Drosophila melanogaster: one gene and its partner. The protein of the gene in region 1 interacts with the protein of each later gene in a pairwise test. Each region holds a gene or a part of one and is shown on either strand. Other genes may lie near its edges.

Region 1 (8,043 bases):
ACCGAATCTCTATCTAATTCTAAAACACTTGCAGGTTTTGTTCACACTGGACAAGCTGCCCTATCGCGAACTGGAGGCAAATAACCGCTCTGATTTATACAGCAAGAAGTACCGCATCGGCTTCTGCACCGCAGAGATAAGACAGCAATTCTTCAAATTGCTCGACCATCCCTGCCCGAAGTGAGTATTCTGCCCGCACTTGAGTTGCACCATTGAGGCTCACCCTTCTACGCTAAATTGCAGATGCGATGCACCTCCATACCGCACGTTCGAGGGCCTTCGCAACCATGTTCGCAGCGAGCATAAACTTCTGTACTGTGACCTATGCGTCGAGACCCTCAATATCTTCACCTTCGAACGGAGGTGCTACACTCAGGCGGAGCTGCAGCTACACAACACCAAGGGCGATCCGGACAATCGGTCGCATCGCGGTCATCCGTTGTGCGAATACTGCAATAAACGCTATGTGGACCGTGATGAGTTGTTCCGTCATTTGCGCCGCGAGCACTACTTCTGCCACTTTTGCGACGCCGATGGTTGCAATGAGTTCTACAATGACTATGCGGATCTGGCGGAACATTTCCGGGCGGAGCACTTTCTCTGCGAGGAGGGTAAGTGCGCCACCGAGCAGTTTGTCGGCGCATTCCGCAACGAAATCGAGTACAAGGCGCACGTGGCCAACGTGCACGGCAAGTCGCTCAACAAGCAGCAGGCCAAGCAGACGCGCACCTTGCAGGTGGAGATCACTTTGGGGCCTCGTGGCCGTAGTGGGCAGACGGAGCAGGGCATAACCAGCGTGAGAACCAGGTGAGTGAGCGGCCATCCAATTTGAAGAAGGCACTCTTAGAATGGTAAACCTTACAGGAATGACGAGCACAACGACTACCAGAACGATTTGCCTTCGATCACCCAGCGCCATGTGAGCATTGATGCTGGCAACGAGGAACAGTTTCCCACATTGAGAGGCGCTTCCACAGCTCCCAGCGTATCCTTGGTGAGACCGCCACCGCCCTCGATGCGCAATCTTAGTGGAACTTCTGGTCTTGCTCGGACCAAAGAAAACTTCCCGGCTCTGGGAGGAGGAAATGGAGGTGGTGTTACTGGGCCCACTAGCAGCAGCATTGCCGCCCGGGCTGCTCAATCGCAGCACCCCGTGGCAGCTGTCTTTAAGAAACCCACAAGCGCGGCAGGTTCTGGCAGTCGAAGTGGGCCTCCCGGTAACGGAATGCTCCTGCATGTGTCAAATCGATCAGCAGCCGTGCCCAAAAAGGCAGCCACGCCGCAGGTAGACTTTCCTGCATTACCGGGTAAGGGGAACAAGAAGAATCTGCGCAACCTGGAGGAGGATATGCTGCCTAGCGGATCGCCAGTGCCGATGGCGAACATCTCCGCTAAGCATCGGTCTCTAGCCGATGACTACGTGTCAGTGGCTAGCCCGAGCACCTTTCAAAAGCTTCAAATGGTACAAAAGGAGGAGGACGAGGCCAAAGCGCGCCAGGAGGCTTTGAAGAAGAGTGCTCCCAAACTCACTGCGGCGGAATTCCCTAGCCTCGGACCGAGTGCCAGCGCCAGCTCAAGCAGGACGACTGCTCCAAAGCCCAGCAGTGGATCTCCTTCATTGAACTGGTCGAAACCAGCTAATGAGAAGAAGCAGCGTGAGCTGGAGAATCGCAAGGCCAAAGTGGCGCCGGCCCCGGTTCTGCCGAGTCCAACATCGAAACCTGCTCCCAAGGCAAGCAACAACAATGTTCAAGAGCAGCAGGCAAATAAAAAGGATAAAAAGCAGAAGGATAAAAAGAGCAACCAGGAGAATCAGCCTAAGACGGCCAAACCGAAGGAGAGAAATAATAACAACGAACAAAAAACCAATGGGGCTCCGTCTACGCCAATACGTGCTCCTCCCGGCTTAAAACCTGGCGGACCGCTAAAGCCACCACCAGGATTCGTGTCCAACGTGACTGTTAACTCGGTGGCCAAGCTGCCCAACAATCTCACGTTCACCAATTCGCTGGGCGAGTCGTATGACATTGTACCCAGCCCCTATACGTACACCGATCCACCAGATACCGAGGTCAGGAATCAGGTAAGCTAACGTCGTTTGCCAATTAGTTAGAAAACATTAACTTAAAAAGCATTTGTCTTGCGTCCAGAAATTGGTTGATGAGGTTATGTCCCTGCTCAAGACCCCAGAGGCGTTGAACGAATTCCGCTTGCTTTCGTCTAAGTTCCGCGACGGATCCTGTTCTGGCCAAGCCTATTACGAGCACTGCCAGTGCGCCATGTTGAGCTCATTTTACAACCTGTTCCCGGAGCTGCTGGCCATGCTGCCGGACATAAGTAAGCAACAGGTAAGACCCGTTTGCAAAACCACATAATAGTAAATAAAGAGTAACTCCATTATTTGCGCCATTTCCAGGAACTTTACCTAGTGCACAAACAACACCTGAACAGCTTGCCGCCCGCCGAGCGCAAATCCGTGCCCGCGCTTGAAGTTTGCAAGGTGTGCAAACAGATCCTCATCACCGCCGACTTAAAGAGCCACCAGCAGGCGCATGAGCTGACCAAAAACTTCCCCGTACTCGGAAGCTCAGCCTCTAACACGCACCGCAATTGAGGTGGTCGGATTGTAGGACAACAAAAGCTTTATCCCTGTATATTTTCTATGTACATATATACCGTGTCAACCATCTAGGAACCATGTCCCCAGATCATGTTGTGAGTGGAAACCCGAAAAAGAACTAGCCGAACCCATCAGTCCATGTAGCGCGACCCACGAAGCCATCTGTTCAATGTGACTTAGTCCGGACAGAAGCTTATCTTGGATGCGTTTCTAATATTTACGAGTGAGCTTGTGTCTAGCAAATGCCCGCAACCTAATAAAGTTCAAATCAATCACAATTATTAGTCGTAATCACCTGGTATGTTTGCCTAACCTGTCGCCCTATCTAATGTCCACATATGGTGGTCGCAAATTGGTTATCACCAAATGGAAATTGGTTGTAGTTGTTGGGTCGTATGGAGCAGATTTATTATCGGACATATGGAGCTCTTCTGCTCTTATCTACGTGGTTTGCTAGCTGGGGAGCGATGCTTGGTAGTTGAGTTTTCTGATTTGAGGAAAAGTAGAGCTTTTGTCGAATATGAAATTCGAGAAAAGCTCATTCTCCATTTTTCTACATAGAATTATTATGAAGGTAGAAATCTATAAAGGCGCGCAGACTCGCGTTAGTACATTTTTAAATAAATCAAATTTAACTAACACTGTTTTGTATTAAGTTTTTATTACGTAACACATAAATGTCTGAATCCATATTAATTACTGGTTATAATGTTACTATAATTATTTATATGAAAATGCATTACTGAAGATTATTTTTTTTGGATAGACCTACGGTCACACTAAAGTCGCAAACAACAATAACAATGGACCGGCGAGAGGATGCTCTGCTACAGGTAATGTTATTAATTACCATATATGAATGGAGAAACTGGGGTAATTACTTTATGGAACCCTGTACGACAGGCCCTCCAAACGAACGCCAGCGAGACAGAGCGCTGGGAAGCCTTCAAGCGCGATAATGAGAGCACCATCCGGAACTTGGACAAGTTCGCAAAGAATCTCAGCGTGGAGGTTATGGTGCCCATTGGACGGAAGGCGCTGATGCCCGGCGAGCTGATCCACACCAACGAGCTTCTGGTGGGTCATTACGAGGGCTACTTCTCCGCCTGCTCCTCCCACAAGGCCAAGGAGATCTGCCAGTACCGCCTGAAGCTGGCCGAGGAGCAGCTGAAGAAGCTGGCCGTGGAGAACGATCTGTGGCAGTAAGTGTATCAGTAAATAGAAGTAGGGAAGAGTAATGTTTACGCTCCTCCAACAGGAAAAAACTCCACACTCCATTTGCGGAGGGGGCGGTTCCCAGTGGCGACCAAGTAGAAATTGTGGAGGATTTCAACGAGGAGTCTCACAACAAGTGGTTGGCGGAGCACAGAAAGCGAATGCGACAGCAAAAGCAGAAGGAGCGCCTCGAACGGGAGGCGGAACCTGTGAAGAAAGATAATGAAGTGCTGCGGAAGCTAGAAGAGCGAGAAATGATGGAGGAACTTGGTCTAGATCCAGATAATATCGACGAGGATCAGCTGCACGATATGCTGAATCAAGAACCTCTGAAATCCACCAACGAAAGTAGTCCTAAATCCTTAACCCAGGAAGAGGAGGATGAGCTGTGGAAGAAGCTGGAAGCCGAGGAGCAGAACGAAGCCGATGAGCTCAGCTCAGAAGCAGAAGAAAGCCTTAAAACAACGGATAACCTAGTGCGCCAGCTCATGTCCGGAGAAACAGAAACTCCATCTTCCAAAAAACGCACTGCAGGAACCAATAGAAACGTGGAAATACAGGATCCCATATCGGAAGATGATGGTGATGATGATGATGAGGGTGACCAGGAGGAAGAGGTGCGAACCATACGGGAGCAGATGTCGCTGCTACCCAACGAAGATCGTGAGCCGTTCCTCAGAGCTCAACTGCATGTACTTAAAGCAAAAATGAGGAAGATACAAAAGGTCAACTTTATAAGCGATGAGCTGATTCACTTGATGAATGTGGTGGTCATGCTAGAGGACGACCTACAGGACTTGGTATTTGAGCAGGAACTGGAGGCCAGCGAGGAAGAGGAGGAGGTTGTCGAAAACAATCATCTTCCAGATGAGCCAAGCAAAGAGCTTTCGACTGTATCTGAATCCAGCACAAATAAACGTCGCATTTCGTTTGCCCTCGACGACGAAAAACTTGAATTCAGAAGGGAGGAGACCGTTGCCGAAATGTTGCCCAATGCGAAAAAGAACTCGAGGGATATCATCAAGCTAAATGCACCTCTTAAACCGGCAGGAGATCCACAACCCGCATCCATTAAAACAAAACGTCAAACAACCCAGGATATCTTGCAAAAAGTAGAACGAAACATTGAGTTTGTCAAGGAAAACCAGAGTGTCCAGGACTTCGATTTACTCAATCGAATTATGGAAGAGTCTACGGGACTCATAAACACTTTACACATAAGTTTCACACATTCCGGTGCCATACCTTCGCCCAGTAGTGATCAAAGCGATGGCATACCTGGAAAGCCCTCTGATTTCTATGTGAGGTATGAGAAGGACCGGGCGCGGCCTAATGATTCGTTTCCTATCTATGTGAACGGCTTTGAAGGCGAGGAGCACGTTAAAGTTCCCATAATGAGCGAAGCTGCACGTGGATCAGCCTATGAAGATCCCAGAAGTCAGGTAAGATCATGTTAGTTCGATCAGATCATAAGCTAACGTCCTGGCCTTGCAGTTCTCCAAGCCCAATTCTTCGGAAATATGTTTCACACATTCCGGCTCCATAACTCCGACCAGTAATGATCAAAGTGATGATATACCTGGAAATCCATTTGATTTCTATGAGAAGTATGAGAAGGACCGAGCGAAGTTCTCCAAGTCCAATTCCTCGGAGGGCGACGCTACTGACCCTGAATCAGCGACCAAATCGATCCTACGAAACAAATCTGCTGTGGACCTGGAGCCGCATAATGTCAACCAGCAGCCCAAGAAGGGCAGGAAGGTCCGGAATCAAAAGAAGAAGGAGCGCACCCTAGACGATGACCTGCGCGACATGAGCGCCTACCAAAAGGTCATGCATGATCTTGTGGAGAAGGAGCCGACTGCACCGGAGCCTCTGCCACCGGGCAAGTTCATCGACTCGCATGCGCCAAAGAAGCGGGTTAGCCGCTTCAAGGAGCAGCGAGCCCTTAACAAAACGTAGCGAAGAGTAAAACTTCAGCTGGATATTACTAGTATATTTGTTCAAGTTTAATGTGAATTTGTATTACAAACACAACGCAAACAATAAACAACTACTGGTGTGGTGTACATTCGTTTTAAAATTAAACACTAGGTACTAGTCCGCTGAAACGGAATTTATTTTTAAAACATTTACATTTACAGTAGGCTTCAATTTACATTAGATCAGAATGAGAGTTTTTGATTCAAGAATGTACGCGATTGAAGGACCTGGCCGCCCGCACGTGTGCGCTATCTTACAGGCTATTCTAAAGTACATATTAACAGCTAATACATACAGTACGAACCCTAAGCATAAGTGTAGTTGGACGCTCTACTCAAGGACACAGCCCATTCCATTGTGTTCAATCATGGTCTACCGAGAATCAAATATGTCTTGAGTGTCTGGCCAGCAGGATGCAGGGATGCCTCCAACGCGGGGTCTCATGGCCCTGTCTGGTGTTCACAGATGCTACAGAATTTCTACATGTCAAAGTCCTCCAGGCCGAGGAACTCCCTTTCTAGAGCGGCGCCCATCATGTTCCATTCGCCGTCGTCCTCGTCCTCCGGTTCCTTCTCGCTGTTGGACTCGGATCCAAGCTCCAGGTCGGAAGGCAGGTCTTCCCCTGGAACATTGATGCAAATATTAAAAGGTTAACACAAGTTTTGTGCGGACGGGCTACCTCGCCTAAACTTGGCGCTGGGCATCTCATCGTCATCGTCCTCCTTCTCGTTATTGTCATCGGCCTCCTCGTTCGAGCTAATGTCCACCTCCACGAGGTTTGGCGCTCCAATCATTATATCATCGCTTCGCGTGAAAAAGTCGTGAGCTCTGTTGGAATTATCATCTTCGCGCTTTCTCTTCAACAGCTTCTTGTCCATTGGTGGATTTTCTTGAGTTATTAAAGACGTATTCGATTAAACGTGGATACAGACACATGGATTAATAAGTAAAATACCTACCAAAATTTACAGGACCCTCGTCGCTGGACGAGTCTGACTCGAAGAATGTTTCGTAGTCCTTATTCATAGACTCGATATCTGCGTTGGTGAAGACCAGCAGCGGATTCAGCGTTTCGCGGAAGTTGCCGCTCTGCTCCTCCTGCTGCTTGCTGCTCGAGGGTGAGATCTCCGAACGCTCGCTGTAGTTAACCACGTGCTCGGGACTATGGCAATGGGCGGGTGGCTGGCGACCCTTGTTGCGTACCTTGCGGTCCAGTGGAAAGAGCTTCTCCTCCACGTGCTCCCAGCGCTCGGCGCAGGTCCACAACCAATTCGCATTGACCACTTTAATGGCAGGCTCTTTTTTGGCGGCGTTAACCTTGTAGGTGCCTGCGTTGACCGCCACTAGATGCGTTATCTCCTTGTCAATATTGGGCTTCACTTCGGCGCCCAGGCTCTTGGCTATGAAATACGCCCGCGACTGCTCGAGCTTCATCTGCGTGGGCACCAGGCCGGAGAACACCAGGTTCTTGCCGCGCAGCACTTCGCTCCGAATCTTCGGAACGATAACCTTTAGATCGGGTATTTCCGTGGTTTCGTCGTAAATAGAGTAGAATCGCTTGTGAATGTTACGAAGTATGACCTCTAGATACAGCAGGTAATCGTCGGGGTCTTCAATCTCTATCTGCTTTTGCCCCTCGAGCGGTGCTCGTAAGCTGGGCGTCTTAGACGTGGTGGCCACATCAGCGTCAGCAGACGGGCGCTTCTCATCCGGCGAAGTGGTGGATGAGGCTACAACCTCATTCTTTTCTGCCGGTGTGGGGGGCACCTCGGCTTTTGTGCTCTCCTTGGAATTATCATCAATAACTACTACGTCTTCGCCATCGCTGGCTGCTTTTTCAGCATCTGGTGAGCCAGATGAGCTGTCGTCTATGACCACAATATCCTCAGCATTAGTCTTGCCATTCAATTTGTCTCTCGGCTCTTTGGGTGCTTCTGTAGCGCTTGAGGCGTTGGAAACCTCTGGATCCTTGGCATCGCCCTCTATTTCGAACACGTCTACTGACTCCTCGTTTACATCGTCATCTTTGCTTGTGCTTGTGACGGTATTATCACCCTTATCGGTGTCTTCTGGTTTGACTTCGCTGCTGGATTCCGTCTTATCTTTGTCCCCATGCTTCTCGGTAATCTCTGCAACAAATGGAAATATCGTTAGAAACATTCAAGTCAGCTTGCTGGAACACCCAACCCACCTTTAAAGTCAACGCCTTCGCCATCCAGTTCATG
Region 2 (4,488 bases), on another chromosome or scaffold:
ATTCAATATTTCATTATTTTCTTTGGGAATGAGAAACACATATTGATAAAGCCAATTGGAAATTCGTTAAAGAAGCCAATATGTACATAAACTAGATCCTTTGTGCTGCCATCACTTGCCCCCTCTGGTCGAAAAGTGAACGAAGAACTGTCGTGGCGAACCTCGTGAATAAATAGTGTGTACTCGTAATTTACTTCCATAGGTTGCATTGATAGGCGTATGAATAAATAATAATAATAAATGTACTAGTATTTAGCCCATAATTGTTTGCAGCTATACTTATTTGGTGTTGTGGCAATGCATAATTTATGCACAATGCGGATACTTATTGATGTTGCTGTACCATGGGGCGTATGCGCGACGCAGCGAGCACCGAACCGCAAACCGAAATCGTTCTTGGCTTGCCTGTGACTGTATTATATATGTAGGGCACACATCAATGATTCACGCAAATTATCGCAATTAAGCGCAATATATTTAATCACAAACATCACACATACATAAATACAAACGAATACTTGTATTAATCATCGAAACGAATTAATTGCAGCAGTTGGCATTTATGCCAGGATCATAGGGTCAAACAACATACAAAACTGTAAGCAACGCCAGCAATTCAATTAAAATGAGATTTTTCACCCTGGCTGCATGTGAATCCATCTGAATATCTGTATTAGGTTAGTTAACAAAACACAAATGAAAAATCGGAAAAACAAAATCAAAAAACGAAATGTTGTTCGTGTATGCATAGCTACATATATACATATATACCACTCGAAAAAAAAAAACGCAAAATAAAAGTAAAATGCAGCAGAAGCAATGCGTGCACTCGAATAGAACGACACGCATTTCCATAAAAATAAACCGGAAATAAAAGAAAAATTCTACAAAAATACATTTTGTTTTTCATTCCTATTTTGGGCTGGTTGTGTGCAATTTATAAGCGTGTGAATACATTAAAACAGATTCAACTTTTTGAGGTATTCTACCAGTCATGAACGTAATTTTGTTAGGTCAGAATTTAATGAAATTAAATATGTAATTAATTTCGCAATATCAAATAACAGTCTTACCATGTATTCTAACCATATACTATCTTTTATGCTCAAGCGATCAAAACCTTTGGATACTTTAGTTTTTATAAGTACTTGCATGTAAATGGAATGAAGACTAAGTTCCGGAATGTCGACCTCAGCTTAGCTATACCAGTAGTACAAACACACGCGAGTCCTTATACAATCGCAGAGTCTGGGGAACATAAAAAACGTTAAGTGGTCGTAAATCAAAATTGTTCAAGAATGGGAAAGTTCGCAAAGTTCCTCTTGCCTTTACTACTTTGCGACAACACGGAGTCCTTTTGCCAATTCGGTCTTATTGTTCTCTTCCCTGGTATTTATTTTCAGATACTCTTAGGCCAAAAAAAAGGAACTCCCAAAGGATCCGGAAATTGGCGACGAGAAGCAGCGTCCTTGCTGTGGGCAACTGCCAATCCAATTTCGTGCATTTGCAGTCCATTGAGTTTCGCTTAAATTTTAATGAAACTAAGCGCCCACCATACAAATAGGAAGCGACACCACCAAGTTTTAATATTCTTGGTTTTTTTTTTAAATTTTTTTATTTTTTTGCTTTTTGTTTAAAAGGTTCTGTTTTGATTGCTTCTGCTTGGCTGTGGACCCCAATCCGCTGGGCTTTTGTTCAATTTGTACAGTTTTCGAAGTCTTAATAGAGTCACTAATTGTTCTGCACAGACATGGTGGTTGGTGGATGAAGCTTGGCTCTTTCAGAAGTCCCACGAGAATGCACGAGTATTGTCTGCGAAAAATGCTTAGAATGGAAGTTATGGGTTAGAATGTGGCATTAATAAGGAAGCCACCTCATTTACCGGTTAAATTAGACTGCAAAATAAAATTTAATTTGTTTATTTAATTCGCTATAATCGAAAATGGTTGTGGTTTTTCGGTCTGCAATGCTAGTTGATTTATTTTAACTCTAATATTTAGATGAAATATTTGCAGCAGCTCTAAGAAGTAAAGTCAAGGGCTCGTAACTTTTGGACATCATCATAACTGCGTTAACGGTTACATTGGCCATTAAAAGTAATTGCCCAATTTCACGGCGTAAACAGCCACGACAATCCATCCACTGGCAGTTGGGAGGCTGTTAAAAGAGAATGGACGTCCCCCAGGCGAAAATTAAGAACTGACCGTTAAGGAGACGAGCACGGCCTGGCATCGCATTCTCATTAACACGCCAGTCCGGTTTCAATTTCCTGTTTCATTTTTCTGTTCATTATAAATGGCTCTCAACATGGCCGGCCAGTCAGTTGAGCCGCCAACTCCGGACCGCAGAAGCAAAAAGCCATAAAGAATGTGCCACGACAACTGCGACAAGTTGATGGACAAAATAATGCCTGATGACATTTATAATGAGCGGAATTTTTTGTTGATTTTCGCCCCTGTTGTTAGTGTTGCAGTTGATAAGTGGAAACTCGCTTCATGTGACCGAAATTTGCGCTACATAGCAGCATAAAATGTGTGCTCTAAATATACCCCAACACCCAACATTCTCAGTCGTTTTATTAAGTATTAATATTAGCATTAGTAGAAGCTTAAATCGTAGATAAAGTATCTGATCCGAATGGAACGCTTCCTTTACAAGGTCAAAGGTGAAGGTTTATTTAAAATGAAATGATAATACTGAATCTGCTTTTTGTACATGAAGAGTTCTCCCTAGATAGATATGATTAATTAGATATATTCGTTTTTTCACGGTAGCTCAACACGTTAAAAATCGAGTTCACTAATTTTAACGAAATTTATATGGCTCAATAGATTTTTTTATGTATTTTTGATGTTTGATCCTTACACCATTTGAATCTGTGATGGGCACAAATGATGAGTCCCAGTCATCTTTCTTCTCTTCTTATCTGCCGTATTCATAAGAAGATGTCGTTCTTACCGCCTTATTGTCTGTGTACCCATTATGGTTTAAATTATATATATTATATATATATATATATATACAGATATATACAGATTCTAGAGACATAGACGCAGCGCTATTTTTTTGACCCATATAGCCACGCCCAAACTTTTGTCAAATTTTTCCCTCATATTATTATTTTTTTTACCGATATCACAAAACATATTACAATTTTTCGTTCACAGTCCCAGCTGAGTAACGGTTATCTAATAGTCTCGTTTTCTTATTATCAACTGAGCAAGTCTCCGACTTGCGAGTAATTTGCATACGAAATTTACATATCTGCAGTCCCCACCCACAACGCCATGAACCATCCTATTCCGGCGTATTGATGTATCGCAACCAAAAATGCAGCACAGCATGGGTGTCGAAGGCAGCAACAAAGGGTGAAACAGAATGGACGGTGACCAACTGACAAGTGACACTTTTCCAATTGAAATTCCCCCTCACCCAGCAACTGCACAACTCCACTGGAAAAACCCGACAAGCAGTGTGCATACATATACGTACATACAATACATACATATGTACATTCAAAGTAGTCCACGATGGTCATGTCAGCCGAGATGTCATAAATTTGCACGGGCACAAAGATCGAATATTCCAAATTGAGCTCTGGCGTTTTGTATTTTGTTTTTTTGAAATTTTCAAATACTGCCGGCTAAGGAAGCACAATGGATGGCTGCCACAACGACATCTTGGCGCCCCTCATCCTGGCCATTATGGTGGCCAATGGACACCCGCTCACCCTGGACGAGATCGTCGATGAACTGACGGCGGTGATCAATTCGCAAACCGAGCTCGCCATTGCGCATGAAAATATTGGAGACGGAAAACATAGCCACAAGTCGTATAAGCCGAGACGAAGGCACTAAGGATCTTAACATGCGTTATGTGCCAAATTTAAAATGCAATAACTTATTCGAGATTTGAGTGAATTTAATCTCTTGAACTATAATTTATAATAAACTGATCGTGTCGGCGGCGACACTTATTTCCGTCCGTGAGTGAAATAGTTATTTAATAAATTTCGAAACAAATGTGCTTAAAAGTGATTAAATACACATTGTACATTATTTCAAGACGGACATATGAAAACTATGCACATGTATGTTGTTTTAAGCTCAAATATCATTAGGGGAAAAGTAAATATTCATAACTGAAAAGAAAATACTTGCTACAGATTGACAATTTATCATTTATTTTAAAGCTACGAGTATTTTTTCATCCTGTTCATTGCCCTCAAGCATCTCAAATTACTGGCTGTAGCAAAGCAACTCTGCATACATTTTTCTGCCTTGATGGGATGTACATATGTATGTATGTACGTACATATATTTTCGTAGGTGGTGGTGCGCGAAGCAGCAGCACGTGTGCAAAATCTACGGACAGAGCGAGTTAAAAGTTTTTCAGCGTCGCGAAAAATTGTTTATGTTTCGCCTTAAAAGGAGCAGGGAAAAATTTCGAATATGTAAAGATGTGTGTGGATTGCTGGAGAAACTACGA

The links. The genes of interacting proteins can lie anywhere in the genome.
Region 2: the proteins of uri (region 1) and CG12521 interact in a two-hybrid assay, tested with the Drosophila melanogaster proteins (one large-scale study listed by BioGRID).

What each region holds. Positions count from the first base shown.
Region 1 is NT_033778.4:24,562,163-24,570,205, forward strand, and holds uri (unconventional prefoldin RPB5 interactor), read left to right. Parts: upstream 1-3,391; 5' UTR 3,392-3,423; coding exon 3,424-3,453; intron 3,454-3,523; coding exon 3,524-3,822; intron 3,823-3,878; coding exon 3,879-5,277; intron 5,278-5,329; coding exon 5,330-5,797; 3' UTR 5,798-5,920; downstream 5,921-8,043. Other genes in the region: CG11414 (uncharacterized protein), read left to right, coding at 35-180, 244-807, 865-2,083, 2,151-2,348, 2,417-2,614; Fcp1 (TFIIF-interacting CTD phosphatase), read right to left, coding at 6,298-6,440, 6,498-6,707, 6,778-7,947, 8,010-8,043. UniProt on the Drosophila melanogaster protein: Inhibits the activity of serine/threonine-protein phosphatases flw/PP1beta9C and Pp1-87B. Required for germ line cell viability and differentiation, normal transcriptional activity and maintenance of DNA integrity.
Region 2 is NT_037436.4:11,846,883-11,851,370, reverse strand, and holds CG12521 (uncharacterized protein), read left to right. Parts: upstream 1-3,567; 5' UTR 3,568-3,656; coding exon 3,657-3,857; 3' UTR 3,858-3,988; downstream 3,989-4,488.